7 linked regions of the Cricetulus griseus genome follow. The protein of the gene in region 2 interacts with the protein of the main gene of each other region in a biochemical or structural test. Links are inferred from orthologs where the notes say so. Each region holds a gene or a part of one and is shown on either strand. Other genes may lie near its edges.

Region 1 (3,552 bases), on a different chromosome or scaffold from region 2:
GTCTTTTATGTTAAAACATGAAAGTTGACTTAATAGGAAAAAGGGTAGGGTATGGAGGCTCACATTTCTAATCCCTGCCTTTGAGAGGCAGAGGCAGGATTGCTGAAAGCTCGGGCCAGCCTGAGTTACAGAGTGATATCCCATCTCAAAAAACAAAGACAATATAGAGAGGATGAGTGATGGGGGTGGGGTGTTCTACACAACGTGTTCTGTTGACTAAGTGTTACGGGAAAGGAATTTGTGCTAATTCTGCCGGCAACCAGGGATTATAAAAGTTACAGCCACGTGGGTGGTGTGCTCAGTTCATAAGTGAAAGCTGTGCCATGTGTATACCTAGGTGTAGAAGCGTGGGGCATACAAGGGTTGGGTACCATATATGGGTTCACCCATCTCTTGGATTCTTGTGTAGTGTTTCCTGAGGACAAGGGGAACTCCTGTGTGCTTATGGAACGACTCACCTGCGGTTTCTCACCTCATCCTTTCAGGATCCCATGCAGGCCAGCACCCTGCTCTTGTCTCATAGACAGTAAGATGTGGAGTTAGAGTGAGTGCCAAGCTAAGTCTCTGGCCTCCGTTGCTTCTCCTGCAGTAAGGGGATGTGTGTGGTCCAAGCTGAATGATGGGCTGGGTCTTCTGTGTACCCTTCAGGGCTTTGGAAGGCGAGGCACATCGAGTGCTGTTTGGCTTTGTGCCTGAGACACCAGAAGAGCTACAGGTCATGCCAGGGAACATCGTTTTTGTCTTGAAGAAGGGCAGTGATAACTGGGCCACAGTCATGTTCAATGGACAGGTATTTGGAAGGTCATGGGGAGGTGCTAAGGGCATAGGGTCCCAGCAGCAAAGGGCAGAGCTCTTCCATGGGACGGTGGTATCTGCTGCATTATTTGCAGACCTGGGCCATCATCTGAGTGCTGTCCCTACGCATGGCTGTAGACTGTTCTGTGTTTTGGGTACTAATGAGTCTTTGTTTTCCTTTCTGTGTCCTGGGATGCCACACTGCAGAAGGGGCTTGTCCCTTGCAACTACCTGGAGCCAGTTGAGCTTCGGATCCATCCTCAGTCGCAGCCCCAGGTAATGTAGGCCTAGCCCCGCCCCCCCCCACCCCTCACATAGCCCTCCAGGGAGAAGAATATGTGAAAAGGGGCAGTCTTCCTGTCATGGAAGAAAGACTCAACTAGCTCTGGGCCACTTGAGCTGATATCAGATGCCTAGGCCTGACAAGAAAAGATCAGCTATGCCAAGTGGAGGCAACTGTTAGGAATCCACTGGACTCGCCCCACCCTGTGAGTCCTTCTGGTCAGGAAGACTTGGAAAGCGAAGCCTGACCATTAGAGCTAGATGTTCCCAGGCAAGTCTTTTCACCAGGGAGAGTCATCAATGTGTCTGTTACTACAATGCCATTTAAAACAAAGTAAGGGCTGGGGATGTAGTTCAGTTGGCAGAGTGCGTGCGTAGCGTGCATGAAGCCCTGGCTCAATCCCCAGCACTGAATAATTCAGGCACGATGGCATGTGCTCCTAACACTTGGAAAGAGGAGGCAGGAGGATCAGAAGCTTGTCATCCTTAGCTACATGGCCCTCTGAGGACAGCACGTGGTCTGTCTCTTTATAGTGTGTAATGAGATGCACATGTGTGGAACCCTCCCTGGTCAGTCATGAAACTGAGGCACTTCAAAGTTTCAAATGCCCTGCAGATGGGAAGTGAAATTTTCCCTTTCTCTGTACACTCTGCAGTGGGCACAGAAGCACAGCATGCCACCCCACTTTGGTGGGTTTTCAAAATGGCTGATGAGATGGCGTGAAGGGCCTTGTGGGCATTAAGATTCTTACTGCTGCCACGAATTAGCCCCCTTTCCTTAGTCATCTCTCTGTGTCATATCACCCTAACTTTTTTAGTCATTTGCATCCAGTTTCTTTCCAGGGAAGCCCTCATGCTTTTGTCTGACTGTCTCCTCTTGTCACCTCCAGGAGGACACCTCCCTGGAATCTGATATTCCACCTCCTCCTAGTACCAGTGCCCCAGCAAGATCCCAGTTGTCACCAGGTTGGTGGCCCAGGAGCAGAAGCTCTCTGGGATGCTTCATGATGAAGAGCTGCTTTCCTAGCCATCTAGGAAATTCTGGTTTCTTTACCCAGCATGCCTCTTGGCTGATGACTACATTTCCTCAGAGCCCTGTCTTGCCTGCACCATCATGCCACTGGATGGTGATGGCAATGCCCCTCCCCCACCTGCTTAGAAATGAGTGCAGATGAAGGGACAGTTAAGTGCCTGTCATGAGAGCAGTCACCAAATGACCTAAACTAGGTCCAAGAAGAAAGGCAGCAGTAACTGCATTTTCTCACCCCAGCCTTCTTCAAACCACTGAGGTGTATGTGCTCTCCAGACTATAGGGCTTGAAGAAGGGACCACTCACTGGAAGGTGTGGATGGGAGATCTTTCCAGAAGGATCTCTCTTAAGCTGGGTAGCACTGTCTTGGAAAGCAATGACTTTTTGTTACTGGTGAGTTTAAGCAGATTCTGATGGAGATGACAGAGGTCTCTTTCCATGACTACCTGATTATTGGAGCTGCTTTTATGCCCCTCCCCTGCATATTTATTTGAAAAATTGCAGACCTTCAGAAAAGTTGGAAGTAGGATACAAAAAATACTACAACACTTTTCACTTAAATACACCAGTTATGGGCCAGCAAGGTGGCTCTGTAGTTAAAGGCACTTGCTACATAAACCTGGTGATGACTGCAGTTACCAGAACCTACTTAAAGCAGGAAGTGGAGAATCAACTCCCCAAAGAAATTGTCCTCTGGCTTCTACACACGCCAGGGCACTTGCCCTCCCATCATGCACACATGCTAAAAGAAAAATTTTAAATGTAAACAACATATCAGTACCTCTTTGCCCCTGTGAGCCACTTAAATATAAGTTACAGACCTATGATACAATCTACCTGGGTATAACTCCCCTACGAACAGGCACAGCTTCTGCCTAAGGAATGCATTCTCATCTAGGACACCGCCCGCCTATTCCACGTGTAAATACTTCAGTGGCCCTGTATAGTGTTCATCAAAGCATTTTTGTTCTTACCTTCCCTATCTGGAGGTTCACAAAAGGATACAATGCTGAAGAGATTGAACTACCGGATTCCTAGACCTTTGGTTGATGTTAGCAAAATGTCCCAAGTGATTCTAATCTACTGGGAATGAATTTGTGATTAATGGTTCTTACATCTTGGGTGGTAAATAGTTCCTATTACCCACACACTGCTGAGTTAACATATTATGCATTTTAAAACCACAAACATACTCAACACTACAGGACCATGAAATGGTAAGGTTCTGCTGTTTATGTCTGGGGCTCCGGCTCATGTCACATGACCTCGCTCTGCCTTGGGGCCTACTCGTTTAACCGGCCTTTAGGCCAGTCCTCTGATAGTTAGCAATGCTTCCGAGAAGCAGAGACTGGCTTCGCTCCCATGCTTGTGGTCTCTGAGATTCTTCAGAGTGAGATTTTTAGATGTTAAAGGGTAGGACGCTGGGCATTGTGGGCGGCAGGTGC
Region 2 (4,331 bases):
TCCCTATTCTCTAGCGGCTTTCGCACTAACAGGGAAGACAGCAAACAAACAGGTACCAAGAAGACAGGGAAGGTAGAAGGATTTGAGAGATCAGAGCTGAAGGGACTAGCACAAGACACCCCAAGTTCTCAGCACAAAGGAGATTTATTTGACCCAGGGGGACAGAGGGCAGGGAATATGAGACAAAGACAGGAGACAGAGGACCAGGGAGAAGGGAAAGAGAACAAGGGAGAGGAGGGAAGGAATATTTGTCCCAGAGGTACAAAGGACTGCCTCTGGATTGAGAGGAGACAGACATGGCCCATAGACAAACAGCAGTTTATAAAGGTAAAAGGGGGAAATCCTGAGTTAGGATGAAATTTGACTGGACAGGTTAATTAGGTAAGACAAAGGGGGGTTTTGATCGCTGGACTACAATACTTTGATAGCTGGACATTGGCAGTCAGCCTCAGGAGGAGGAAGTGGCTAAATAAGGGAATGGACCATGGTGGCTAGTTTTAGGATTATAATCTAACGATTTTTAGCAAGACAGAGGGGATGTGGGAGGACAAGGCCATGTTTGCCACACTCGGGCTGGCTAGAGTCCCTTCAAGAGTCAACCTAGGGGGCCAGGGAAGAGGAGCTAGGCAGAGTAAATGCAGGACCTTTTTGAGGGGGCGGGTCTCTAGCTCTAAACAAAACCCAGGGCAATATTCTATTCTCACTCCTTGACAGGCAGATTGTTTAGAGGCCCGTGGGCTTCAGAAAGCTGTGCACAACAAGTCTCTATTTCTCTTTGAGAAGCAAAAAAGGATGCAGGGTGTGGAGATGCATGCCTACAATCCCAGCACTTGGGAGGTGCAAGGATGAGGATCAGGAGTTCAAGGTCAACCTCTGCTACATAGTTGTGTTCAAAGCCAGCCTGGGCTACATGAGACCCTGTCTCAAACGTCATTAAAGAAAGGTACCCTGGTCATGGGGATGCACATCTTTAATCCCAGCACATAGGAAGCAGAGGCAAGCGGATCTCCAAGTTCCAGGCCAGCCTGGACCATATAGCAAGTTCCAGACAGCCAGGGCTATACACAGAAACCCTGTCTCAAAAAAACCAAGCCAAGCCAAACCAAACCAAACCAAACCAAAAAGACATCCCAGACATGGTGTTGAGTATCAGCACGCAGGAAGCAGAAGCAGGAGAATATGAGTTCTGGGACAGTCTGGTCTATATAGCCATTCTAGGACAGCAAGGGCTATATAATGACACCTTGTCTCAAAATAAAAAAATTAAAAATAAGATATATTTACAATGCTTTTCTTCACAAAGTTCCAAGGACAAAAACAAACTTTAGTGACAACACTGTGAACACTTCTGTTCATAGTTTTATTACGAATAAAAATCACTGGTAAAACGTGCAGAAAACCTGAGTATAGGAGGAACTCAGCCCGCGCGTGCGCGATACGGGCGGAGCCACTACCAAGCCACGCCCACCGCGGCCCGTTCCAGCCCCTTCTTCCTCTTTGTCCCGCCCACTTCCGCGGGCACCCAACCGTGCGTCCCCTGCGTGCTGACGTCAGGCGCGTGCCCCTGTCCGGCAGCCGAGGAGGCCCCGCGCAGTGCTGCCAACGCCCCGGCGGAGAAGCTGAGGTGAGTGCGGGGCCCGAGTAGCCTCCCCGCGGGAGTGTGTTGTGCATCGCCCGGTCCCTGTCGCGCGCCCCCGCCCTCCCTCGGTCCTCGAGGATGCTCGCGGTCGGGGGCATCCCGGTACCTGCGGGCCTCGAGGGGGGGGATTGCCGGGTTCGCGTGCGCCCGCGGGCCCGGGTTCTGAGGGGAACGAGGCGGGGTCGCGGAGAGATTTGGGGCCGGAATGGCGACGAGGCGCTGCCGGGGATGGCGGCGGCGGAGGGCGCATCCCGGCCGAGCTGTCAGTGGCGGCGGGAGAACCAGGCACACCCATCCCACCGGCTCCCCTCCCCCTCCGCCCGTCCGCCCTCCCGCCCGCCCGGGCTCCGCAGACTCCTGGACGGGGGCAGCGGACGTAGGGCCGGGTTCCGGGCCGGGGGCTGGGGGCCGGGGGCCGGGGGCCGCCGGCCGCCGTCTACGTTTTCGGTCTCGACTTCCTGCTTCCCGGGCTCCGCCGTGGACGCGTTGCTGCGGGCGGGCGGCGGGGGAGGGGAGCGGAACTGCGGCCGCAGGGCCGGGCCGGGGCCACGGTGACGGACCGGGCGGCTCTGCGCCTGCGCCCCTCGGCGGTCCCCAGCCCCGCGCTGTGTCCGTCCGCTCCTGCCCCGCGGCTCCCGGGGCTCCCGCGACTGGGCCGGCCTCCTTGCCTTCCGGGACCTGTCTAAGCACCTCCCGAAACCCCGCCTGGCCGCTTGCTCGGTTCCTCATTACTAGCAGGAAATTTTCTTTGTTGGTTTTTCTATTTTTTTTTTTTTAATTCCTCTTTCCTCCCCTTTAAGTCCCGTAGAAATGCAGTGTGGAAGATTACGTCATCTCAGCATAAGGGGTGAGAGTTTTAACTCCTACAAGTCAGGGCTCCACAAATTAAGATACATCTTGTGGCCTTAGTGGGTCACTCCACTCAGCACGTCGGTTCAGAGTCAGGTGGTGTGTTTTTTTTTTTTGTTGTTGTTGAAATCATGTTGCCTGCCTTGATGGCTGCCTGAGATGCATCTAAAATACGGAAAGGTTAAAAATCTTAGGCTTAGGTTATTTTTGGCCAGGGAATACACACTGTCTGCAGCCACTTAGGTAGGCATGAACTTTAAAGGTCCCCTTGGCTGTCTGTACTCGGTTGAACTTTCTTGTGGGAGCAATTCTTTGCCACACTGACCAATTGTGACTTAACCTGATGTAAGGAACCTAAATTTGGTGCATGGTGCTAAGGGTGAGCTAAAAAGAGAATTTAGTTGTATATCTGATTTGTCTTTGTTAGAATTGCAACTTAAAGTTGCATGCTTTAGTTTTACCATTAAAAATGGTTTTCGGATTTATTTTTTATTTTGAAACAGGGTCTCTATGTTTAGTTCTGGCTAGCCTTGACCTTAAAGGGACATTCCTTCCTTCTAAGTCTCTCTTTATAGGACTTATTTATGTTCTGTCATGGGAAACTGATAGAATAGTCCCTGCCGCCTAAGTGCTGGGATTACAGGCATGAACTACTTAAATTACCACCCTTGGTTTTAATTTTTAACCCCCAAAACTTGAGTAATATTTTTAGACTTGTATCACTAGAATTGTGTCCTTTGATTATAAAATGCAGCAGTGCTGAAGAACATTAACATTGCAGAGCAAATGAGGTCCACTTGTGTAATGCATCCTTTTAAGGGTGGCTCATGTTTGAGAAAGAATTTTCCCATTATTGCTCATTTGTATAGAAAATAGCATTGCTTGTTAAGAAACACCAGAGTGGTGTATTCAAATTGACTTTCTGTAGTTTGTAGGTATGGCGCTTGAATCTTCCAAAATACACTGTTAGTCTTTTTGTGACATAGGAGTATAACATTGGAGCATTTATTTACTACTGTATTTTTTAGCTTTCTATGTTTAAAAAGTTTATATGTGAGCCAATTTGTATTTATTTAAAAAGTTTGTGTGTGCACCAGTTTGTATTTTTTTCTTTTTAATTAAGTAATCTGGCTGGTGAGATGGTTCAGTGGATAAAAGCACTGGTCAGGCAGGTCTGACTACCTTAGTTGGATCCCCAGAACCCATGGTGGGAGGAGAGAATCCTGATTCCCAAAAGTTGTCATCTAGCTGGATTTATTTAGTGTTCCATACTTTCAATCTTAGGCAGAGGCAGGTGTATCTCTGAGTTTGAGGCCACCCTTGTCTACATAGAGAGTTCTAGAACATCAAGGACTAGAGAGACCCTGTCTTGAAAAAAGAAAAACAATAACTGTCCCAGATCTTCACATTTTGGCAGCATGCAAGCATGCATGTGTACACACTTAGAAATACACACAGTAATAATAAAAATAAGCAATTACTTTGAAGTTTTAGGTTTTAGACTAAGGCAAGGAAATAAGATTGGTAATTAACTGAGTATTAAAAAGGAGCTTTGAAAATATATACAGTAATTTGTTCAAGACCCAAAGGTGTCTTGTCTTCTGTTACATTCTCTTAAGATGTTTCATACAGTGACCAACCCCGTAGCTTAGTAAACACATTTCCCCTGTCCAGTATTCTAAGCAAGCCCATCAAGACTGAATCCTGAAGTTTACAAAATGTCAAAGTTTGTTTACTTAGGATTTCTTTTTTGCACTTGAAATAGTTTTTTAAAATGTTTTTATTCCTTCATACTTTCATACATGCATACAAAGTGTTTTATATTTTGATCATGTTCATCCCT
Region 3 (4,258 bases), on a different chromosome or scaffold from region 2:
GGAAGTAGCTCTTGTAGACCAGGCTGGTCTTGAACTCACAGAGATCTGCCTGCCTCTGCCTCCCAAGTGCTGGGATTAAAGGTGTGCGCCACCAACGCCTGGCAAAAGAATGCCCAATGTCCTTCGAGCTGGAATCAAACCAGTGACCTAAGAATTGCCACAGCTTATCCACTACAGTCCTCGGCTCTACCAACTGAGCTATCGAAGGCCCCGTTCCCAGGCTGGTTTTAAATTCACTCTCTGACAAAGACAGACTTTGCACTTGTGATCCTCCTGCCTCAGCCTAGACTCCCCAGCAGCAGGGTTTATAGGTCTGCATCACCAGATTCAGCTAGGATCGCATCTGCAACATGACACGTCCTGGGGCTGGAAATTTGCCACTTCTTTCTTAATGGGACCTTAACCGGCTTCCTAAACATTTCGCTAGATTTCTTCCTGAAAAGCAAGAGTCAGGCCCCTGTATGTTAAGGGTGGCAGGCAACAACAAGCACAGCCCGTTTCACTTTCCAAGAATCTTTTCCTGGCCAAGGTGCCTTGAAAAGTTGCACAAACTCTTCTAGTCCTCAGAACAATCCAGGGAGTGGAAGGTGATAATTTAATTTTTTTTTCAATGATGAAAAACAAAAAGGTTCAGTAACTGGCCCTGGGTCACGCAGGAAGGAAGGAAGGTCACGCAGGGTTTAGAATGGGCTGATGGAGTGTGAAATGTAACGAAGTGGTTACAGTTCAGTCATTCACAGGAGGTGGGCTGTGTGGAATGGGAAATACATGTTTTAATTTGTTACAAAGGCCATAGCTTTCCTTGGTATTCCTTGGTACCTTATCTGCCTTTTTCTTTTCCAATCTATGAAGTCTTTTGTGGGGCCAGAAAGATGGCGCAGCTGTTAAAGGCTGGGGTCACGACCGAAAAGAGCATGCCTTCCATCCCGGTGTTCAGAAGGCAGAGATAGCCGGGCAGTGGGGGCACACGCCCTGTAATCCCAGCCTGCAGAGGCAGGCGGATCTCTGAGTTCCAGACCAACCTGGTCTACAAGAGCTAATTCCAGGACAGCCTCCAAAACCACAGAGAAACCCTGTCTTGAACCCCGCCCCGCCCTACCCAAACAAAAACAAAAACAAAAACAAAAGAAGGCAGAGGTAGGCGGAGGTTTGTGAGTCTGAGGTCACCCTGGTCTATGTAGACAGTTCCAGGCAACACAGGACGCAGTCTCAAGAACAAACAAGCAAAAGAGTTCTTTGGACTGGAAAGATGGCTAACTGCTCTAAACTCAGTGCTATAGAGAGGGCGGGGGCAGGAAGATAGCTGGGGCTTATTCAACTCTGATTTGAATAAGAGACCCTCCCAGGGCTGGAGGGATAGATAGCTCAGCCGTTAAAGGCTAGGCTCACAACCAAAAGTAACAGACCCTCCCCCATCTCAAGACTAAGAATAATCTAGCAGGACACCCGACCTAGGCCCTCAGACCTCCTAGCAGACACGAATGCTGCAAGCACACACTACATGCATGCCTCTCGCACGCGCACAGGGAGATTTTAATGCCCCTGCAGCTCCTGGCTGGCTTTGCGACCCTGAGGGAGTCGCTTTCCTAGGTGTCCTTCTGCACCTCCAGCTCTAAGCTCGAATGCGCTTCTCGTCGCGAGGCTGTCACACTCAAGGCAAAGCGCTCATTCTTGGAAAAAGTTCGTCATCAGCCTAGGCTCTGACAGAGGGACTGTTGTTGGGGATCAATGCAAAGCAGAGTGGATGCAGGCACACACAGGGGGCCCAGCCCGCCCGGACAGGCACCGGGTCAGATGAGCAGAGTGGCCATTTCCACTCTCTTTCCTGCCTAGGCACTGTGTGGCTCCAGCTGCAGGGGGGTGGAGGGCACACCTGGGTCACCTCTGTCCTCTCTTAGTCCTAACCCTGCCAGGACGGAAATAACAACCCGATCCGGAGCTGGCTCAACTGGTTCTCACGCTGGAGGAGGGTGGAGCCCAGATCTGGCAGGGGATCCCACCTGGAGACCCCTGGGATCTTAGGACTAGTAACCCTTTTCCTAAAGCTGCAGGGACATCAAAGGCCCTGGTCTCTTTGCTAACTATTCTGTCTCCCCCTACCACTCCCCCCTCCCGCGACTTCCTCTGGTTGAAGACCCCTGCCCACCACAGCCTCCTCACCTCGTGGTCCTGACTGAGTTGGGCTCCTGGCTCAAGATGTGGTACCTCCTGGCCTCGGAGGCTACCTCGCTGGCGCCTTTTTCCTTCTTTCTCCGGGCGGGATCTCACCTGGCAAGAAACCAAGTGTCATGCCCAGCCTGGAAGGGGCTCCAGGACCTAGGTACGCCGTCTGAGTGCCACCACCTCAGGCAGGGTTCTGCGCTCTTGGGTCCCAGGAGCCCCACCTCCTAGCTCTCTGGTTTCACAGGCTGGGAGTTCCCCTGCTCTCCGCTCTCACATTCCAGGGGTCCAGGCTTCTGCACTCTTTTATCATTTACAGGAATCCAGACCACTGCCCTCCTCCCTCAGACCCAGGAGATTAGATCCCAGAGTCTGGCAAATCTTGGCTGTGGTTCCTTCTTACCTGCACCGGGAACTAAGTTTCAGCCCCTCTCGGGGGCCATGGTAGCCTACCAGGCGAGCGCAGGGTCAACGCCCAGTCAGCCTAGTTGCTCTTGGTTTCTTGTCCCGGGTTGAGAGGGTTAAGCCTTAGGCCCCTCCCAGCCTTCCTTATTCCCCCAAAGTTTGTCTCTAGGATTTAAAGGACTAGAAAGCCACGGCGGTGGAAAAGCTGAGAGCCCGTGTGGGGGCAGGAGGAGACCAGAACTGGACGAGCTGGAAGCAGGGGTGGAAGCAGGGGCAGAGCTAGGGGGATGGACGGGCGCGCCCCCAGCCCGGCCCCTCCCCTTCCCAGCTTGGAATTTCCTGAAACCAGGGAAGTCTGGCTGTTTAGAAGAGTAATTTCTTCCAGACTGCTGGGGGAGTGGTTGGTTGTGTGTGTGTGTGTGTGTGTGTGTGTGTGTGTGTGTGTGTGTGTGTGTGTGTGTGTGTGTGTGTTGAGGAGAGGGGGACAGGAAGAGAGGAAAGAAGGAAAGAGAGAACTAAAGTCCCAGCTGGAAGAAAGAAGTGGTGTTGAGAGCTCCCTGGAGAGCTCCCCAGATGGATGTTCTATTTCAGCCACCTTCCAAAGAAGGCTCATTACCCTGAGTCCCTGTGTCTGTGGCTGAAACAATACACTGGTGTTGGGAACATCCTTCTGAAGCTGATGGGACCTGGCTGGATAGGAATTCAGGCATGATTCTGGCCTGCCCTGTCACCTGGCAAAATGCACTCAGGCAGTCCCCTGGTCAGCCCAGGGTTCCATGGTTGCATAGTCTGCTCGCAGGTGCAAAGGACTCCTTTAGAACAAAGACCCCCGCCCACTTACTCTCTCTTTCCCTCTCTCTTTCTGCTGTTCCTTTGGGGCAAGCAGGATTTTTCCTGTCTCCCTCTTCTCTTCTGTCCTGTTCTTCTCCCTGTCCCTGTGTCTCTTTGCCTCTGTTCTCTTTACTTCACCCCTTTCCCTTTCTAAGAAAACTCCTCACTAAGATCTGTCTGCCTGGCATGTTTGTCACCCTCGCCTGCCATGGAGTCCACCAAGGTTCTCCACTCGCTTTACCCTAACAGTGTGGGAGTAAGAGTGTAAGAGTTTGCTGTCCTGTGGTGTGGTGTGGCTTAGGACAAAATCTACAGAAAGTGGGCAGCAGACTCGGGGTGCAGGGGAGACCGAGTTACAGATCTCAGAAGCAAGCCCCTGTGAGCGGCACACGGAAGGACCACTGGGAACTTGCAGAGAGTCCAGAGAAGAGGGAGCACATTAAGAGAAAGGTCAAGGCTGAGCATAGTGGAGGCAGGTGGATGTCGGTGAGTTCCAAGAGCCGGGGTCACAGAAACGTGAATGGATAAAGCAACTGTGGTGTATATTCCCAATGGAGTTTTGTGCAGCCGTGAAGAAAAGCACAAGGAAATGGGTAGAACCTGGAGGTCACTGTGTTAACAACCCAGAATGAGAAAGACAACTACTAAGACTCATTTGCACAATCACTGTCTCTCTTTTAAGCCCCCTCTCTCTTACACACACGTACACACTCAACGCACTCATGAACACACACTCACACACAGAGACACACACATGCATACACACACTTATGCACACACATACATACTCACACTCACAGACACAGACACACACTCACACACACATAGGTACACATTGCTGTTGATGAATTGTTTTGCTGGT
Region 4 (4,140 bases), on a different chromosome or scaffold from region 2:
GGTCACCTAATTTCACTATGGGGATTGTAGGCAGCCTGAAAACTTTTATATTTTCATTACTTTTGGTAATGGTTTACCAATGCATTGAGAGTTATCATGTCATAAAATTTTAATATGCAAGTGTTTAATTGAAACTGAATGATTGGAGAACATCGTTAGTACAATTTATGTGATAAAGTGTATCCTTAATTATCCTTAATGTGAAGAATGGTGAAATGTACATTTTATATAACTCGATGCAATCTGATTTATCATTTCTATACGCCCAAGTTTTTAAATACTGTTTTTTTTTTTTTAGTTTTCCATTCAACCGTATTATTTTATAATAACTTCTGATATTCTGAAACACAGTCATGAAGAATTCTCCGTATTGACTTGTGCTGGGAATGTAGATCAGTTGGCTGAGTGCACCCCAGGCCTAGGTCCCAGCAACTAGAAAAATTAACTCGAAAGGATAAAACAGGTAAGGCATAATCCTGTACAGGAATTCGAGACTGAGGACGATGGAGAGAGGGTTAGTTTCCAATTCACAAGATAAGAAAAAAAAAAAAAAAAGTGGCATTCGGGGCTCGTCGGAAAATTCGAGTGTAAATACTACACACACTTATCCCACGAGATCCGCCAGGCGGGGGGGGTGGGGTGGTGGACGTCTTTTGAAAGCGGGTCCGATTTTGACATCTATGAAGACGCCTCCCCTGATCCTGGCAAAGGTCTGTTCCTCCGCCCCCGCCCCGCCCCCAGTGGCAGCCTGTCGTGAGTTCGAGAACCGGGGGGCACCTGATGGAGGCTCCGCCCGCAACCACGCTGGCCGACCTTTGCAGCTAATCTAGACCTGCCAGGAGGCCTGAGAGTCCCACTTCGCTAAATGTCAAACCCTGGCCACCACTGGGGCGGGAGGACGCGCGGCCCGGTGCGCGCTGCGGTAAGGCGGTGCGCCGCCGGACTCTGCAGCCCCGCCTCGGTCCGACTCTGCGCACGCGCGAGGCGGCCCCGGTCCGGGCTGAGCGGGTGCGCGGGCCTCCGCTGGCTCCCGGAAGGGGGTGGGGCCTGCGCGGCCACGCCCCGGCTACCAGCAAGCGAGAGGAGGGGTGTCCGGCCGCGCCGCGTTTCCGGCGCGCTCCCCCGCGTCCCGCGTCCCGTGGTCTCGCCCGCCCCCGCTGCCATGTTGGATTGTGCGGCAGCCGCCGCCGCGCCGCCGCCGCAGAGGAGGAGGAGTCGCCGCGTTAGCCGCCGCCGCCGCCGCCGCGCCGCGGAGTGCGAGGACGACGACCATCCGGCCCGAGGCGAGCCGGGCGGGAGCCGGGAGCTTCCCTGTCGGCACGCAGTCCGCGCGCGCTCGCCCGCCGTCGGCTCCTTCCTTCCTTCCTTCCCTCGGCCTCCGCGCAGCGGAGGAGCGGCGGGATGCTGCGCCGCCTGTGAGCGCCGGCCCCGCGCCCCTGTCACCCCGAGCGGGACCGAGTGAGTGAGTGCTCGCCCACCTCCTGAGGAGACAGCCCTGGACGCGGCACCCCGCCGGCGACACCATGAGCTCGGGCCAGCAGCCTCCGCGGAGAGTCACCAACGTGGGCTCCCTGCTGCTCACCCCGCAGGAGAACGAGTCGCTCTTCTCCTTCCTCGGCAAGAAATGTGTGGTCAGTGAGCCGAGCGAGACCCCTGTCGCCACCCACCGCGTCCCCGGGCGGGCTCGGGCCGGGGCACTAGAGAGTTAGGAGGGAGAAGGGGGCGGGCGGGCGCGCGCGGCCGGGGTCCCGCCGCGGGCCAGGCCTCCAGCTCGCTCGCCCGGGCCCGGGTGCTGCCCCGGGTGCAGGCCGCCCTGCCCGGCCCTGCCCGGCCGGGAGCCGCCTCCCTGAGCTACTGGAGAACCAGGGAGTGTCACCTCTGCGGGCCTGCCCAGAAGTCCAAGTCGGGGTCCGCGCCCTTGCTGCAGGTTCAAACTTTACTCTAGACCACAAGGGAATTTTTCTGGGTGCATCAGTAGCTTCATCTCCCAACGGGAGCCCAGCCTTGCTTTACTTCCTACTTGTGGATCTGGGCTGTCTTCGTTAACAATGCTCGGGGCTTTAGGAGTGAATAGATGCGGGGAGGAGGGGAGAAGCGCGCATCGGCTTTATCGATCCCCCCTTTAGGATTCCGTGAGAAGGGTAAAGTGGAGTGCAGGTTCCCGGACACCGGCTCAGAGCGAGGAAGGGGCAGGAAATGCGCCTGCACCCCACTGCAAAGAAGCAGGGCTTATTTCCCCAGCGTTTGCGCCTAGGCCTAGTTTCTGCACTCCGCCCCACTGTTTTTTGTTTTATTTTGGTTTTTTGTTCTTTTTTTTTTTTTTCTTCCTTGCATTGGTAAGAGAGAGTGCTGCTCTCACCGCAGCCATGCATAGAGACGCCGCAGTTTCTACTAGTTCCTGGCCATTGGAGTCAAAAGTGATTCTGAGTTTGGTCCTGTGGGGCCAATCCCAACCCCAGATGGCGGATTGGGAGCGAGTAGTTCTGTGGGAAGGGGGAATGCCTGTTGTTGACGGAGGCATTCACGACTCGCTTCTGGGGCTGGAAGGCTCTCCCTGGTGAAGGCCTTATCTTGGTCTTACTGAGGTGACTCTTGAGTTGAAAGGGGGATTGTTAAAATACTGACTAGTCTCTTGCTAACACCCGCCGAGTGTGTGCCCCTGGAACCCAGGAAACACGCTGAGAAGTTTCAGCTGAGTAGGACCATTTTATATTTTTCCTTAGCAATGTTAGATATGTCAAACCAGACTACACCTGCTTAAGAAGTTAAGAGTAGACAGTTTCTGGAAAGTTACCAGCTTAATTGTTAACTTTATGAGCTTACTTTTTATATCTACTTCTGGACTTAAGATGTATTTCTTGTTCAAAAATTTAGACTTTAAAGAACACCAAGTCTACAACCAGAAGTAGTAAACAGTTTCAAGAAAGAAAGAAAGAAAGCTGGGGAGACAACTTTAAAAATGAAAGAAGTCCTTCCTGGTATATAGTATTTTAAACAAAAGAGAAAGTGGAGCCCTTGGCCCCAAGTCACAGTAATTTAGGAATGTAACTGGAACTCTATGTCTAGTCCCTTTGTACTTTCCACTACAGCATGTTGTTTCTTGAGGATTTTTCCCCCTTAATAATTTGGTTGTCAAAGTGGTGTTAAGGGAATAACTACTTCATTTTTACATAGAATGGATATCATTAAAATGTGAGTTTCTAAAAACAATGTTTTGCATATTTTCAGTTTGGGAAAGTCTCCAGCTTTTTTTTTTTTTTTTTAATGAGCTGCCTGCAAACAGGGCCAACTTTGTTGGTTTATTACATTTAGTGTACAATCTACCAAAAGTTAAGGAGCTTTCTGTGTTCACATACCAGACCCATGAATTCCAGGCATGGAGGACATTGCATGTATGTGCCTAGTGTACTCATTGCTCAGAGCTTAACTGTAGTGTTTACCCAGGGTTTCAAGGAAATGACAGACGTGGGAGTGTATTTTGATAGACAAAGATAGCATGGCTCACTGTAAGCATAAGTAGGTTGCTGAATTGGTTGCAAGCAGTCAGCGATGAATTTCTTTACGTCATATATTATTAATCAACTTTACCTTTTGAATTGTTGTAATTTAAAACCACATTGTTGTTGCCTTCTCTTGTAAGATGAAATTGTGAAAATTAAACTTTGGAGATTTTGGTTCAATCGAGAGCAATGTAAACTCAATGTTTTGGAATAATTTTTATAGACTTAGGCTCCCTTTTTTTTGTTTAAAACAACAGTGAAATGCATTGTCTCATAAATCAAGCAGTAGAGTTACAGGTCAGATCAAATGTAGTAAACTGATACATTCAGAGCTCAGTCTATGAAGTCAAGGCATGAAACTAGTTATACGGTGCCGGATTTTAAGCAAGTTCTTCATCCCTTGTTTCATCAAATAAACATGTATTGAGTAACTGAACGTTGAGGTCAAAAGTCAAGATTGATGCTTGCCCTCGGGGAGTTTAGTGTCTGATGAAGGAAACAACAAATAAACTGATGAATAAGTCAGTACTTAAGAAATAAATATGCAAGAGGCGCCTGTCACAAGCAGGATTCTAGGTCTGTAGTCAGGAGATGTGGGTGTGTAAGCTCAGAGCTTGGCTAAGCCCCTTCACTCTCCTGT
Region 5 (3,552 bases), on a different chromosome or scaffold from region 2:
GCACCATTCAGAAAAACATTCTCTTTGATTCTAGCCTAGCTGTGGAGAAGACTCTCTTAAAAGGCACAGATGGCACACAGGACGGAAGACCCTCTTAACTTAGAGAAGGAATGGAGGAGAACAAACGGTACCTGTCTGACTCTGTCCAGAAGGTACAGCCTTGCTCTGACTGCTCGAGACAGGCCGCTCCTCTTTCCCTGGCAATTCTACTTCTTCAGCTGCCCCCTGCTCCAGGGGCTGTACTTCAGGTTCACTTCCTTCCTGTGCCTCTCTCTCACTTGATTTCATCTTTCCTATCTGGGTGGGGGATCTATTTATGACATCTCTTTCTTCCACACTTTTATCCCAAGATGGAGATGATGCATTCTGAGCTACGGAATTGGAGACAGTACCAATGACTTCTGACACCCGAGGTGGAAGAGTCACTGAAATGGGCTCAGATATGTTCATGGAAGGAGATTTGCTTAGCTTCCGTCCAATCTTCGGAGAGAAAGCGTAAACGACCTTTTCTGTGAATGAAGATGGCTTAGAAGACTTGTCCTCAGTTGGGCTCAAGTCCAGGGTGAAGAAGGGACTCAGTTTCTCCTGGACTGGAGACACAGGTTCAGAGCTTGCCGTGCTGCCTGGAGTCTGAGACTGGCTACCACCTGCTTCTACATCCTTCTTACTGATACTTGGTTGATCCCTGGCAAACCCTAACGAATCCAGAAAGGAAGCTCCACTCTCCAGACACTCTGACTCAGCTTTCGGAGGACTACATTGAAATGACATCGGATCAAAATCCAGACTGGCCACTCCAATGTCTGGTGGACTCAAGTCAACATCCTCGGCAGAATGAGGGGACACAAGAGCTGGAATATGGAGCAGCCCCACTTCCTCTTCACTCTCATTGTCGTGGGGCAGATTATCATAAGAATTGCAGCGGTTCCCCAGCATTTCTCCATTGAAGGAGGCAGAGAGTGCATCACTGCTAGATCTGGGTCTCCTGGGTCGGAACAACTTGGAATCACCTGTAAAAATGGACAACAGTGTCAAAGCACGACTGTCACAGGACACATAACACCACAATTAGTCACATCTAGTACAGTAGTAATATTGCATGAGGTAAGAAAAACGCAACTTTTAATCTTCTTCCCACAAACTGTTTCTGGGTGTACAGATGTCAGTCACTCTTATGGTAAGAGAACTTCCAAATCAAATAGTAAGCAACAAGTCCACGTGCTATAAGCAGCAAAGGATGCATTGTCTTATCCATAGCCTGATAAGAAAAAAAGCAAGGGACTCTTGGATTGTATTACTGATCCACTGACTTTTGGTGTGACACTGGGCAAGATTTTTACTTTCTTTGTGTCTTATTTTATCAATGGCTTTACATATGATTTATAAGTAGAAAACATCACTTAAAAATAGCACTTTGGGTATAATACAGTTTAAACAAAGTTTGCTTATTGTGGGAAAATATCCTTACTATGCCCAAATTTATTTTTACAGAAAAAAATGTTTCTTCCTAATAAAAAAAAAGCATTCACATGCATTTTATAAAGTACTTCATTCACACATTTACAATACTTCCACATTTTTGTAACGAGACAGGCTTTTCACTTCTCAAGCAAACCCAAGCTGCCCCAGTGTAGCACACTTGCTTTCATGAAGTTGGATTCTGAGTTTCAACTTAGGCTGTAACCTCACCTCCCTAAGTTCTGCCAAGACATTGTCCCCTTTGGAGCTAGACCCATTTTAAGCTGTCATGTCCAACTGCTAATGACCCTTGAGTACTGGAGATCACCCACCATCCATTAACAACTGAGAATCAAAGCTGCTCCCATACCAAATCTAAAGGAATTAATGATACTTGCTTTAAGAATTGACAAATATAAATATTTGCATTGAAACATTTTAGCCATTTGATATAAATAGCATTCATGCCGAAATACATCACCACATTAAGATATTCATGAGTTTTAACTGAACCATATTTAATAAATATCAATACTACTGGAAGTGATATTTCATAGTCGTCTTGCTAAGCACACATTCACAACATTGCCATGTGCATGTCCTTTTATGCAAGTCATCACAGAACATTTTAGTCTTACCGTCAACTGCATGGAGAGAAGTTAGAGACTCCTCACTTTTAGCTGAGCGGAGGGTTCCTTCTGCCCTGCCACCTAAACAATCAAAACGAAATAGTGTAAAACTGGTGATTATTAAGGATTTTGCAGTTAAAGGGCTTGGTGTCTTTCCTAAGTCTGCATTTCCAAGTGGGATTAGCTATGCATTTTGACAGTCACATTGAGTTTATCATCCCATTATGCTACATTATTGTTTTCCATGTGAAAACACTTTTCTACAGCGTGTGAACTTTCACACAGAGGTGAACTAAAACACTTCTTCCTTCTATGTTTCCTGATGACCAACTTGATAACCTTGAGTGATGTATTTAAAAGTTTTATTTTTACTCATGTGTCTGGTCCATGTGAGTGTATGCACATGTATGCCAGTGTGCTAGGAGGCCAGAAGAGGGTGATGGATCCCATGGAGCTTGTAACAGGTGCTAGGAATTGAACCAGTCCTTTAAAAGAGCTTTTGACCACTGAGTCATTACCTCTCTGATGACATTTTACAGAGGCCCAATCCTCAATGATGGTGCTCTTGTAAAAATACAAGACAACAAGGCACCAAGAAGAAGGCCCTGTGAAGATGCAGGCAGAGATTGGAGTGATGCTACCTAAAGGCAAGAGATGTCAGGAGCCAAGAGAGGATAGATGAAGAAGGAAGGAATCTTCTCTGGAGAACTTACAGGTAACCACAGTTGAGCTGACACCTGTAAGACAGAGTTTCCACATACTTTTGTGTTTCAGTCTCAATTCGTAATTATTTATAATGGCAGCCTCAGGAAATTCAGTTATTTTAACTAACTGCTAACCTCCCACGTCTTGCTGACTTGCTGGTAGCAAGCACTCCAAACTGCTTTAAGCTCTTTACAACCTTCCTAATCACCTCATCCTGCTCTTCTCTCTTGACAATAAAATCTCTTGCAATCCTTTAAAAGTCTCTTTTGTCCAACCTCTTCCCACCCTGCTCTCATCTCCTGAAATAGTATTCTTAGTCCCCTTAAAGATCAAGTGAATTGCACCTCCTTCAACACCCAAGTTAAAAGTTTTCTTCTTGGGGGCTGGCAAGCTGGTTCAGTGGTTAAGAGCACTGATGCTCTTTAGCAAACCTGGGTTGGATTCCTAGCACCCACACAGCAGGCAGCTCATAGCCATCTGTAACTTCAGTTCCAGGGAATCCAGTGCCCTCTTCTGGCCTTCATGTGCATGAGGCACATGGAGTGCACACACACAAATGCATGCAAGACATCCAAACACATAATGCAATATTAAATTTTTTTAGAGTTAAGCATTCCTGACTATCAGCCCATCCCCATGAGCACTGATATTGCCTGTCAAAGATGCCAAACAGAATTCTACTTCAGCTGTGCCTGCATACTCAAAGTCATTTTCTTACAGATTCCTTCCTAATTAGACACCTAATGCACGGCACTGCCTT
Region 6 (3,552 bases), on a different chromosome or scaffold from region 2:
TTCAGACAAACAGCTACATAGTTGCTGTTTTTTTCTTAAGTTACCTACTTGATTAATTGAAAAAGTCACGTTAAGTAAATAGAATTTTATGGGCACTTTAAAGCAATAAACTTAATAATAACTTCCAGAGCAATTTAGCTACTTCTCCAGTGTTGCCATATTGAACGTGAATATGGTGAACTGGTTTGCATATTCTCTTTTCCCCAAACCTCCTTCCAGTACCTTTCTGGGTATGGTAAACTGAGGCACATTCTAAATAGTTCACACATGTCAGCTCCTTTTCTTGCTTTATTAACTGTTGTACCTAGATCTTTTAAATGCCTCAAAATGAGGTTTTTTTACATCGTCCAGAGGGCCTTTGCTTTGGTCCAGTGAAATGGATTGCTTACCTAGGAGCTATGGATGTAGCTCAGTAGTAAAGCTATTACACCATACACAGGCCTGGGTTCAGTCCTTAGCAGAACCTCCTCCCCACTAAAAATGATACTTGCCGTACATATTCATTTACTTTTTAATTGGTTATATCAGAACCAGTGGAGTTCAGTTGTTTTTAAATGAGCTGTTGAAGAAATAAATTTACATTTTAACCTTTTAATTTTTCTGGCTTGTCCTCCTTTTTTGCTCCCATGATGAGTGCAGCTGAATACTAAGGGATCAGAAACGTCAGCAGTAGTGACAGAGGAAGACGATGATGATGAAGATGCTGCTCCTCCTGTCATTGCCCCTCGGCCAGACCATACAAAATCAGTGAGTGAAATGTTTAAAGGCCCTCGAACTTAAAATACTGCAGTATGCAGAAACTTGGTTGTTTATCAAAGCCTACTTTTTGGTGCTGATGAAATGGCTGAGCAGGTGCTTTCCACCAAGCCTGACAGCTTGCATTCAATCCCCCAGACCCACATGGTAGAGGAAGAGACCTAACTCCTCCAACTTATCCTCTGACTATCTCATGCACAGTATGGTGGGTGTGCACACACATGCACACAATAAGTAAATTAAAATGAATAATAATGACTTAGAAAAGTAAAGTCTTTTTTTTTTTTTTTAAGATTTATTTATTTAGCCGGGGGTTGGCGCACGCCTTTAATCCCAGCACTAGGGAGGCAGAGGCAGGTGGATCTCTGTGAGTTCAAGACCAGCCTGGTCTACAAGGGCTAGTTCCAGGACAGACTCCAAAGCCACAGAGAAACCCTGTCTCAAAAAAAAAAAAAAAAAAAAAAGATTTATTTATTTATTGTGTAAACAGTGTGTTCTGCCTACACGTTGCCTGCAGACCAAAAGAGGGCACCAGATCTCATTATAGATAGTTGTGAGCCACTACATGGTTGCTGGGAATTGAACTCAGGACCTTTGGAAGAGCAGTCAGTGCTCTTAACCTCTGAGCCATCTCTCAACCCCTAAATGTTTCTTTTTTTGTTTGTTTGTTTGTTTTTGTTTTTCGAGACAGGGTTTCTCTGTGACTTTTGGAGGCTGTCCTGGCACTTGCTCTGTAGACCAGGCTGGTCTTGAACTCAGAGGTCGCCTGCCTCTGCCTCCTGAGTACTTGGATTAAAGGTGTGCAACACTACTGCCTGGCCTGAAAAGTAAGGTCTTGAGTAAGCATGGTGGTGTCCATCTTTAATCGAGCATAGTAGGTGTATCTCTCTTTTGAGTTAAGAGGCCACAATTTAGTGAGTCCCAGACCAACTAGAGCTACGTACGAAGACCTAGACCCTATCTGTAAAAGCAGACAAAAAAGAAAATTACAGCTTCTTTAAAAGTTAAGAAACTTAATTTACTGGGTTTTTCTTCCTTGTTTCTCTCTTACTCTAAAGAGGATCTATTTTTTTAGCTTTCTCAATATAGATAACTATTATATCTAAAACTAGATCATTGCTGTTTTCTGAATTATGTATTTTACCTTGCTTTCAAAGGCTATGTTTATTCAAGAGGTGTTTAAGAATGAAATTACTTACCATTAAGAGAATTTTAAGAGTAAGGGCCTTAAGTAGAGCCAGGCAGTAAGAACGGGCTCCAGTACTGCCCTTCCCGCTGTGATGGAATGGAAGGCTGCCCCAGGGTTCTTGCTCCACTCAGCAACAGAACTGAAACTGATGCAGTGGTGGAAGACTGTGTTTTCTTTATGACTTAGGACTGGCTGTTTGAAAGAATATGATCACTGTTGAATTTATGTAAATCTTACAGAGGGAGGTGGTTATAGTTATCTCAACATCAGCATTATTACTCTTTTCTGTTTCTAAGCTGTGTTGGGTTCATTTTGTTTTTGTTGTGGGTTCATTTTGTTTTTGTTGTGAGCCAGGGTCTCGTGTGGTCTAGGCTGGCTTCAGTCTCGCTATGTAGCTGAGGCTGGCCTGGAATTCCTGATCCTCCTGCATCTGCTTCTCAGGCACCCAAGTATAAGTGTGTGCCCTGTGCCTGGCTGCAGGTATGCTTTTTTTTTTTTTTAATTTATTTTTACTTTATGTGTGTGGATGTTTTGCCTAGGTGTATATTTGTGCAGCACATTGTACTTGTTGCCTATGGAGGTCAGAAAAGGACATCAGATCCTTGGACCTGAGTTTCAGATGGTTATGAGCAGCCATGTGGGACCTTTGGAGAAGTAGCATGTGCTTCTTTTCATTACATTGTTCTCAGTACTTTAGATGTAGTCACACTGGAAGGAGTTTCATAGACCTATTTTGCTAGATATTTTCAAAATACATACATGCTGTGTCAAAAAAAATACATTATACATTATTTTCCTGGTTACATGTTTTGGGGAGGTGGAGTATTTGTAACAGGGTCTTATTGTAGCCTGGGGTGTCCTCTTACTTGCCTCCTGAGTGCTAGACTTACAAACAGGCACCACTATGCCTGTGTTTCTTGTGTGAGTATACTGTCCCATTCTTCAAAACAGTGGGAAAGATAACTTAGTTTGGTTTTTTAAAAAAATCAAAGAATACATTTTCTGCTACTAAGACTATCTGAAAATGGTTTTTTCTCAAGTCTCAACAATGAGCTATATCTTTTCAGATTTACACACGGTCTGTCATCGACCCTATTCCTGCTCCAGCTGGTGATTCTAATGTTGACGGTGGTGCCAAGTCTTCAGACAAACAGAAAAAGAAAGCCAAGATGACAGATGAAGAGATTATGGAGAAATTAAGTATGCAGTCTATACTTTATTTTCTTAAAAACATTTGGAACAGAGCTGGAGATAGTTGTTGCCCAGTGAGAAACACTTGCTGAGTGTGTGCAAAAACCCTTGGTCCCTGCCAGCCACATCTAAAGGACATTGTTTGAAACTCTATCACAGGGGCTTGAATATAACTTCTCAATACAAACCTATAAAAATGTTCCTTATAGGCCGGGCGTTGGTGGCGCACGCCTTTAATCCCATCACTTGGGAGGCAGAGGCAGGAGGATCTCTGTGAGTTCAAGGGCAGCCTGGTCCCCAGAGCGAGTGCCAGGATAGGCTCCAAAGCTACACAGAGAAACCCTGTTTCGAACCCCCCCCCCCAAAAAAAAAAATAAGTTCCTTATGGGCTGGCAAGATGGTTCAGTGGGAAAGGG
Region 7 (4,322 bases), on a different chromosome or scaffold from region 2:
AAACCCTGACCACCCTAAGTGGAGTATCACTCACACCAAGCCACCAATCTATCCAGCTATCACAAATAACTCTCTTAATTTTTTTTTTTGAGTGAAAGTTTTATTAGACAGGGGAGGGAGGGGGAATGAAAGAGAAAAGAGGTAAAGACACAGGGGGAGAACAGAAGAGAAGAGGGAGACAGGAAAGAAGAGCAGGAAAGAGCAGAAAGACAACTCTTAATTTTTATATTGTGAGTTTTGGGATTAAATTTGGAACTTTTGGATTAAAACTTTTTTTTTTTTTACATTTTTACTAAAAATATAGTCTCACTATGTAGCCCACACCAGCCTGGAACTCACAACCTCTGGGTCTTGGCCTCCAGAGTGCTGGGATAATAAGTACTTGCCACCATACCCAGCTCACCTTTTAGATTTTAAGGGGAAGGGTTCAGAATGCAGTTTAAAGTTCCTGGAAATAACTACAGACTGGTTACCAGTTTGTTCATTTAGAAATCTGAGACAGGGTATCTATCATACAGCCCAGGCTACCCTCAAACTTAACTACATAGCTGAGGCCAGCCTAGAACCCAAGGGTGCTAGGATCACAGGTGTGCACCAACATGCCCGGTGCTTTTAGACAAATAAACTCAGTTCATCTTTGTACACACCAGCAAGAATAGGGACCACCACCATCAGACCCATTTTGCAGATTAGAACAGAGATAATTAAAAGTCACTGGCCCAAGCCTGGCTTAATGATACATGCTGGTCAGTCCAGCTCTTGGGAGTCCAGGCACAAGGGCTGCCTCATTAGTGATCAGTCCTGGCTACAGAGGGAGTAACAGAACAGCCAAAACCATGTCTCAAAGATAGAAACTAGGGCCAACGAGACGGTTTGACAGATAAAGGGGACAGGTAAAGGGCGCTTGCAGCTAAGCACGGTGACCTGAGTTTGGCCTGGGACCCACATCGTGAGGAGAGAACCGACTCTAGCAAGCTATCATCTGGCTTTGGAAAATGCCCCGTGGCATATGTAGGTGCACCTCGCTCTCAAAATTAAATAAATAGTAAAAGTAAAAAGCCACTCTCCCCCAATAACTGTGCTAAGTTGACAATTTATAAACCCAAAAGGATGCTCTGCTGGGAGTAAATTTCACCCCAGGTCACCCAGACTTTTAATGGGAGATGGGACTGGAGGTGCGGAAATGGAGTCCTCTGGGAAGGAGAGGGACCCATGCCCAGCTCCCGCACCGCCCCTTTCCGAGTCTTATCCCATTCTTACTTGACTTCGGGGTCATCTTTGGTAGGTCTCTTGGGAAGGTACTTTTTCACCAGGCTCCTAAGGGTGGGGACAGAGGCAGGGAGGCTTGAGAACCTGCCGGATCACCGCGGAGCCCCAGCAAGCACCCACCCTAGCGCTCACCGGAGTTGCTTGGCATAAGCCTGCTCCACCTCTGCGCGTTCTTTCACGAACTTCACGTATTTGTCCAACAGATCCAGCCCCCACTGCGTGTGGCGTTCCAGCACCTCAAACTGATCCTGATTCCAGGGGAGTGATTGGGGAGGTCAGGGTCACCTGGAGGGAGCACCGAAGCCCCAGAGACCAGATGCACGAGAGGGTGGGGGCGCACAGGCAGGGGGTGGGACACGGCACAACCTCGACACAACCTCGTGGCTCGGCGGTTCCAGCAAGGACTGGCTGGCTTCCCCAGGCGCCGCCCCGGCGTGGCGCAGGGGGAGGCAGGAAGCTGGCGGGAACCCCCATCTCCTCCTCCCGGGAAGGGCCTGGACAACAGCGCCAGGGCCCCAAACCGGACGGCGGGGTCTCTTGGAATCCGGGTGGCCAACGAGGGTGTGGGAGGAGGCTAAGCTACTCCAGCTCCCTCCGAACCCTCTAATCCCCCAAATTCCGGAAAATCAAGCGGGCTTGGCACATAAGACAGGCACAGAAGGGAAGGGTTTGTGCAGCTCAAAGTGCGTGGAAGGAGGGAACCTCAATGGCCAGATTTCCCCATTTGCCACGATCCCCGGGGTGTGACTCAGTTTCCCCCGCTTCTGTGATGCCTCCACTACAGTGGCTTGCCTCCACTACACCCGAAGACTCCACCGCCTCCAGAAAGAGGAGGGGTCAATAGTCCAACAAGGATTCAGGGAAACTTCTAGGGCTTCCTGGGTGAGGTTAAGTGGCGGGTAAGGGGTGGCTCCGCCCAGCCGAGTCCTGCAGCCCCCTTCCCCTCCCCCTCAGCGTCCCAAGCCCTTTAGGGCAATTGCAAGCGGGGAAGCAACCGAGTGAGGCCCCACGTGGGAGAGAAGGTGACCAAGGGGCCCCCCTCCCCCTCCCAGCCGGGCGGCGGGCAGGGACCCAGGGGCCGTAAGATTAGCCTCCAAGCCAGGCCAGGGCGCTCAAAATAGGTGACCTCGCCCAGCTGCCCCCCCCCTTCCTGGCCTGGTCTAGGGACTTCTTGTGATGGCCTCACTCTCAACTCTGTGACTCAGTTTCCCTATACGGGTCCTAGGCAAAGTATCCCTAGGGCCCTCTGAGCATCTAGAAAGTCCCCAAGGAACTTTTGAGAGAGTGCTGAAGGCAGAAGGCGGGGACCCGCAGGATCAGCTGCGAGGGAAACCACAGAGTCCCGGCAAAGGTACATAGGGGACAAAGAGCGGAGAGGCCAGGACCCCAGCAAGGGAGAACCGTGTGAGCTGGGAAGAAAGGACTCACCCACAACTCGGTGCCCCAATCCATGCTCGTCCTGCCGCCGGGGACGCCACCACCTCCTGCCGGGGTCCCCGCCACCCTCCACCAAACTCAGCCCCAGGGCGGTGTGCCCAACCCCGCCCCGCCCCGCCACCAGACCACGCCCACTCAACCAGTGCGCCACGCCCCTTAGCGCTTTGCCACGCCCCTGCCCCGCCGAGCCTGGAGCGGGGAGCCCTAAGGGAGGAACCCAATGAGGCGGAGCTCAGCGAATGTTCCGCCCTCTCTTAAAGGGCTCTGGACCTCCTTAAAAGATGCCTCGATTTACTTTCCAGTCTGTACCCTGATATTACTCTCCTCTGCCATCCCAAACTATTCATCCTTTCCATTTAACTTCGCATTTCTTACAAAGGATCAAAATATCAAAATCCCAAACCCACTCCTCCCCACCACATGGCAGGGAAAACCTGCGGTCGGTCACTAGGCTCTTGCGGGGGCCACCTAGGCTCCAGAAATCTCCATTTCGTTTCACTAATGGTCTGGTTCCCTCCGGCCACAGAGCAGATGGGATGATTTCGATCCAGCCCTGGACGCACCTCCAGCTAATGCCAGGTCCATTAGCGCACCCCCACCGCATCCTGACTTCCCTTCCTCCCCGCCAGAACCTCCTTTGAGAAACTGAGGACAGGCTGCCCTTGGGGCCCCAGTTCTGGACTAAACACACACACACACACACACACACACACACACACACACACACACACACACACACACAGCTCGCACTTGCACCTGACTGCCCATTTCCCAGCCCCATTTTCTGAGGCCCAATCAGTACTGCGTACCAGATTCTTAGGTGGCTCCCGCGCCCACCCCACCCCATCCCACCCCCGCCCTAGCGTAGACCCTGGGGCCCTGGGGCTCAGAAATTCGGTCCTCCCAATCATAAAGGTCCTTTCACACCTTGTAAATCCCCTTGAGGCTCCCAGATGGAAAAGAAAAAAAGGCCCTGGTGGCTCCCACCCCCGCTCTCCTGGGCCGTAGGTGCTTTCTCCGTTACTGCAGAAATACCTAAACACCCCTCTGCTGCTTTATCTGGAAGAGAAGCGCAGTCCGGACTTTTGAGGAAAAATGCCCTGGAGACCCCACTGGAACGGAGGCTCCGGTGAGCATTAGCCCCACCTGCTGGCAGCTTGAAGGATAAGCTCGCACACGCAAAGCCGAGTGGGGGTTGGGGAGAGGGGGTGGAGGAGGGGTCCGAGGTCTGATGAGAATAAGCTATCAGACTGGGGTGGCGAGTTTAGCGGCGGGATCAGCTATTTAGTTAAGAGTTGAAGACTATCTACAGCTGGGGTCCAGAAGCTGGGACTCTTCCAGATCTGGGGGCTCAGTAGAAGATGGGCGGGGGGGGGGGGGGGGGGGGCTGGAGAAATGGCTCAGTGGTTTAAGAGCACCGACGGCTTTACCAGAGAACCCCGGTTCAAGTCCCAGCCCTCACAACTGTCTGTAACTTCAGCATCTGACACCCTCACAAAGACATACATGCAGACAAAACACCGATGCACATAAAATAATAAAGATAATCAAAAAAAAAGATTAGGCGTGTAAAATAGGGTGAGGTGCCTAGGATCGGAATGTGGAGGAGAGATCGG

What was found.
Region 1: the proteins of Cdc42 (region 2) and Ncf2 form a complex in vitro, tested with the Homo sapiens proteins (2 studies listed by BioGRID and IntAct). The link is inferred for Cricetulus griseus from reciprocal best matches to the Homo sapiens genes CDC42 and NCF2.
Region 3: the proteins of Cdc42 (region 2) and cdc42 effector protein 5-like form a complex in vitro, tested with the Homo sapiens proteins (2 studies listed by BioGRID). The link is inferred for Cricetulus griseus from reciprocal best matches to the Homo sapiens genes CDC42 and CDC42EP5.
Region 4: the proteins of Cdc42 (region 2) and Wasl form a complex in vitro, tested with the Homo sapiens proteins (3 studies listed by BioGRID). The link is inferred for Cricetulus griseus from reciprocal best matches to the Homo sapiens genes CDC42 and WASL.
Region 5: of the proteins of Cdc42 (region 2) and Arhgap32, one has a biochemical effect on the other in vitro, tested with the Homo sapiens proteins (3 studies listed by BioGRID). The link is inferred for Cricetulus griseus from reciprocal best matches to the Homo sapiens genes CDC42 and ARHGAP32.
Region 6: the proteins of Cdc42 (region 2) and Pak2 form a complex in vitro, tested with the Homo sapiens proteins (4 studies listed by BioGRID, with this or other methods). The link is inferred for Cricetulus griseus from reciprocal best matches to the Homo sapiens genes CDC42 and PAK2.
Region 7: the proteins of Cdc42 (region 2) and Trip10 form a complex in vitro, tested with the Homo sapiens proteins (3 studies listed by BioGRID and IntAct). The link is inferred for Cricetulus griseus from reciprocal best matches to the Homo sapiens genes CDC42 and TRIP10.

What each region holds. Positions count from the first base shown.
Region 1 is NC_048598.1:38,811,017-38,814,568, reverse strand, and holds part of Ncf2 (neutrophil cytosol factor 2), read left to right. Parts: intron 1-648; coding exon 649-790; intron 791-1,002; coding exon 1,003-1,071; intron 1,072-1,967; coding exon 1,968-2,043; intron 2,044-3,552. UniProt on the Homo sapiens protein: Subunit of the phagocyte NADPH oxidase complex that mediates the transfer of electrons from cytosolic NADPH to O2 to produce the superoxide anion (O2(-)).
Region 2 is NC_048595.1:15,952,699-15,957,029, forward strand, and holds the start of Cdc42 (cell division control protein 42 homolog), read left to right. Parts: upstream 1-1,502; 5' UTR 1,503-1,624; intron 1,625-4,331. UniProt on the Homo sapiens protein: Plasma membrane-associated small GTPase which cycles between an active GTP-bound and an inactive GDP-bound state. In active state binds to a variety of effector proteins to regulate cellular responses. Involved in epithelial cell polarization processes.
Region 3 is NC_048602.1:22,427,788-22,432,045, forward strand, and holds the start of cdc42 effector protein 5-like, read right to left. Parts: upstream 2,809-4,258; 5' UTR 2,564-2,808; intron 2,269-2,563; 5' UTR 2,161-2,268; intron 209-2,160; exon of another isoform or gene 120-208; intron 1-119. UniProt on the Homo sapiens protein: Probably involved in the organization of the actin cytoskeleton. May act downstream of CDC42 to induce actin filament assembly leading to cell shape changes. Induces pseudopodia formation in fibroblasts. Inhibits MAPK8 independently of CDC42 binding.
Region 4 is NW_023276806.1:202,727,162-202,731,301, forward strand, and holds the start of Wasl (neural Wiskott-Aldrich syndrome protein), read left to right. Parts: upstream 1-1,320; 5' UTR 1,321-1,523; coding exon 1,524-1,631; intron 1,632-4,140. UniProt on the Homo sapiens protein: Regulates actin polymerization by stimulating the actin-nucleating activity of the Arp2/3 complex. Involved in various processes, such as mitosis and cytokinesis, via its role in the regulation of actin polymerization.
Region 5 is NC_048597.1:144,646,881-144,650,432, reverse strand, and holds part of Arhgap32 (rho GTPase-activating protein 32), read right to left. Parts: intron 2,169-3,552; coding exon 2,097-2,168; intron 1,011-2,096; coding exon 132-1,010; intron 1-131. UniProt on the Homo sapiens protein: GTPase-activating protein (GAP) promoting GTP hydrolysis on RHOA, CDC42 and RAC1 small GTPases. May be involved in the differentiation of neuronal cells during the formation of neurite extensions.
Region 6 is NC_048597.1:57,460,597-57,464,148, forward strand, and holds part of Pak2 (serine/threonine-protein kinase PAK 2), read left to right. Parts: intron 1-639; coding exon 640-747; intron 748-3,012; coding exon 3,013-3,145; intron 3,146-3,552. UniProt on the Homo sapiens protein: Serine/threonine protein kinase that plays a role in a variety of different signaling pathways including cytoskeleton regulation, cell motility, cell cycle progression, apoptosis or proliferation.
Region 7 is NC_048598.1:96,232,894-96,237,215, forward strand, and holds the start of Trip10 (cdc42-interacting protein 4), read right to left. Parts: upstream 2,845-4,322; 5' UTR 2,722-2,844; coding exon 2,698-2,721; intron 1,518-2,697; coding exon 1,402-1,517; intron 1,318-1,401; coding exon 1,261-1,317; intron 1-1,260. UniProt on the Homo sapiens protein: Required for translocation of GLUT4 to the plasma membrane in response to insulin signaling. Required to coordinate membrane tubulation with reorganization of the actin cytoskeleton during endocytosis.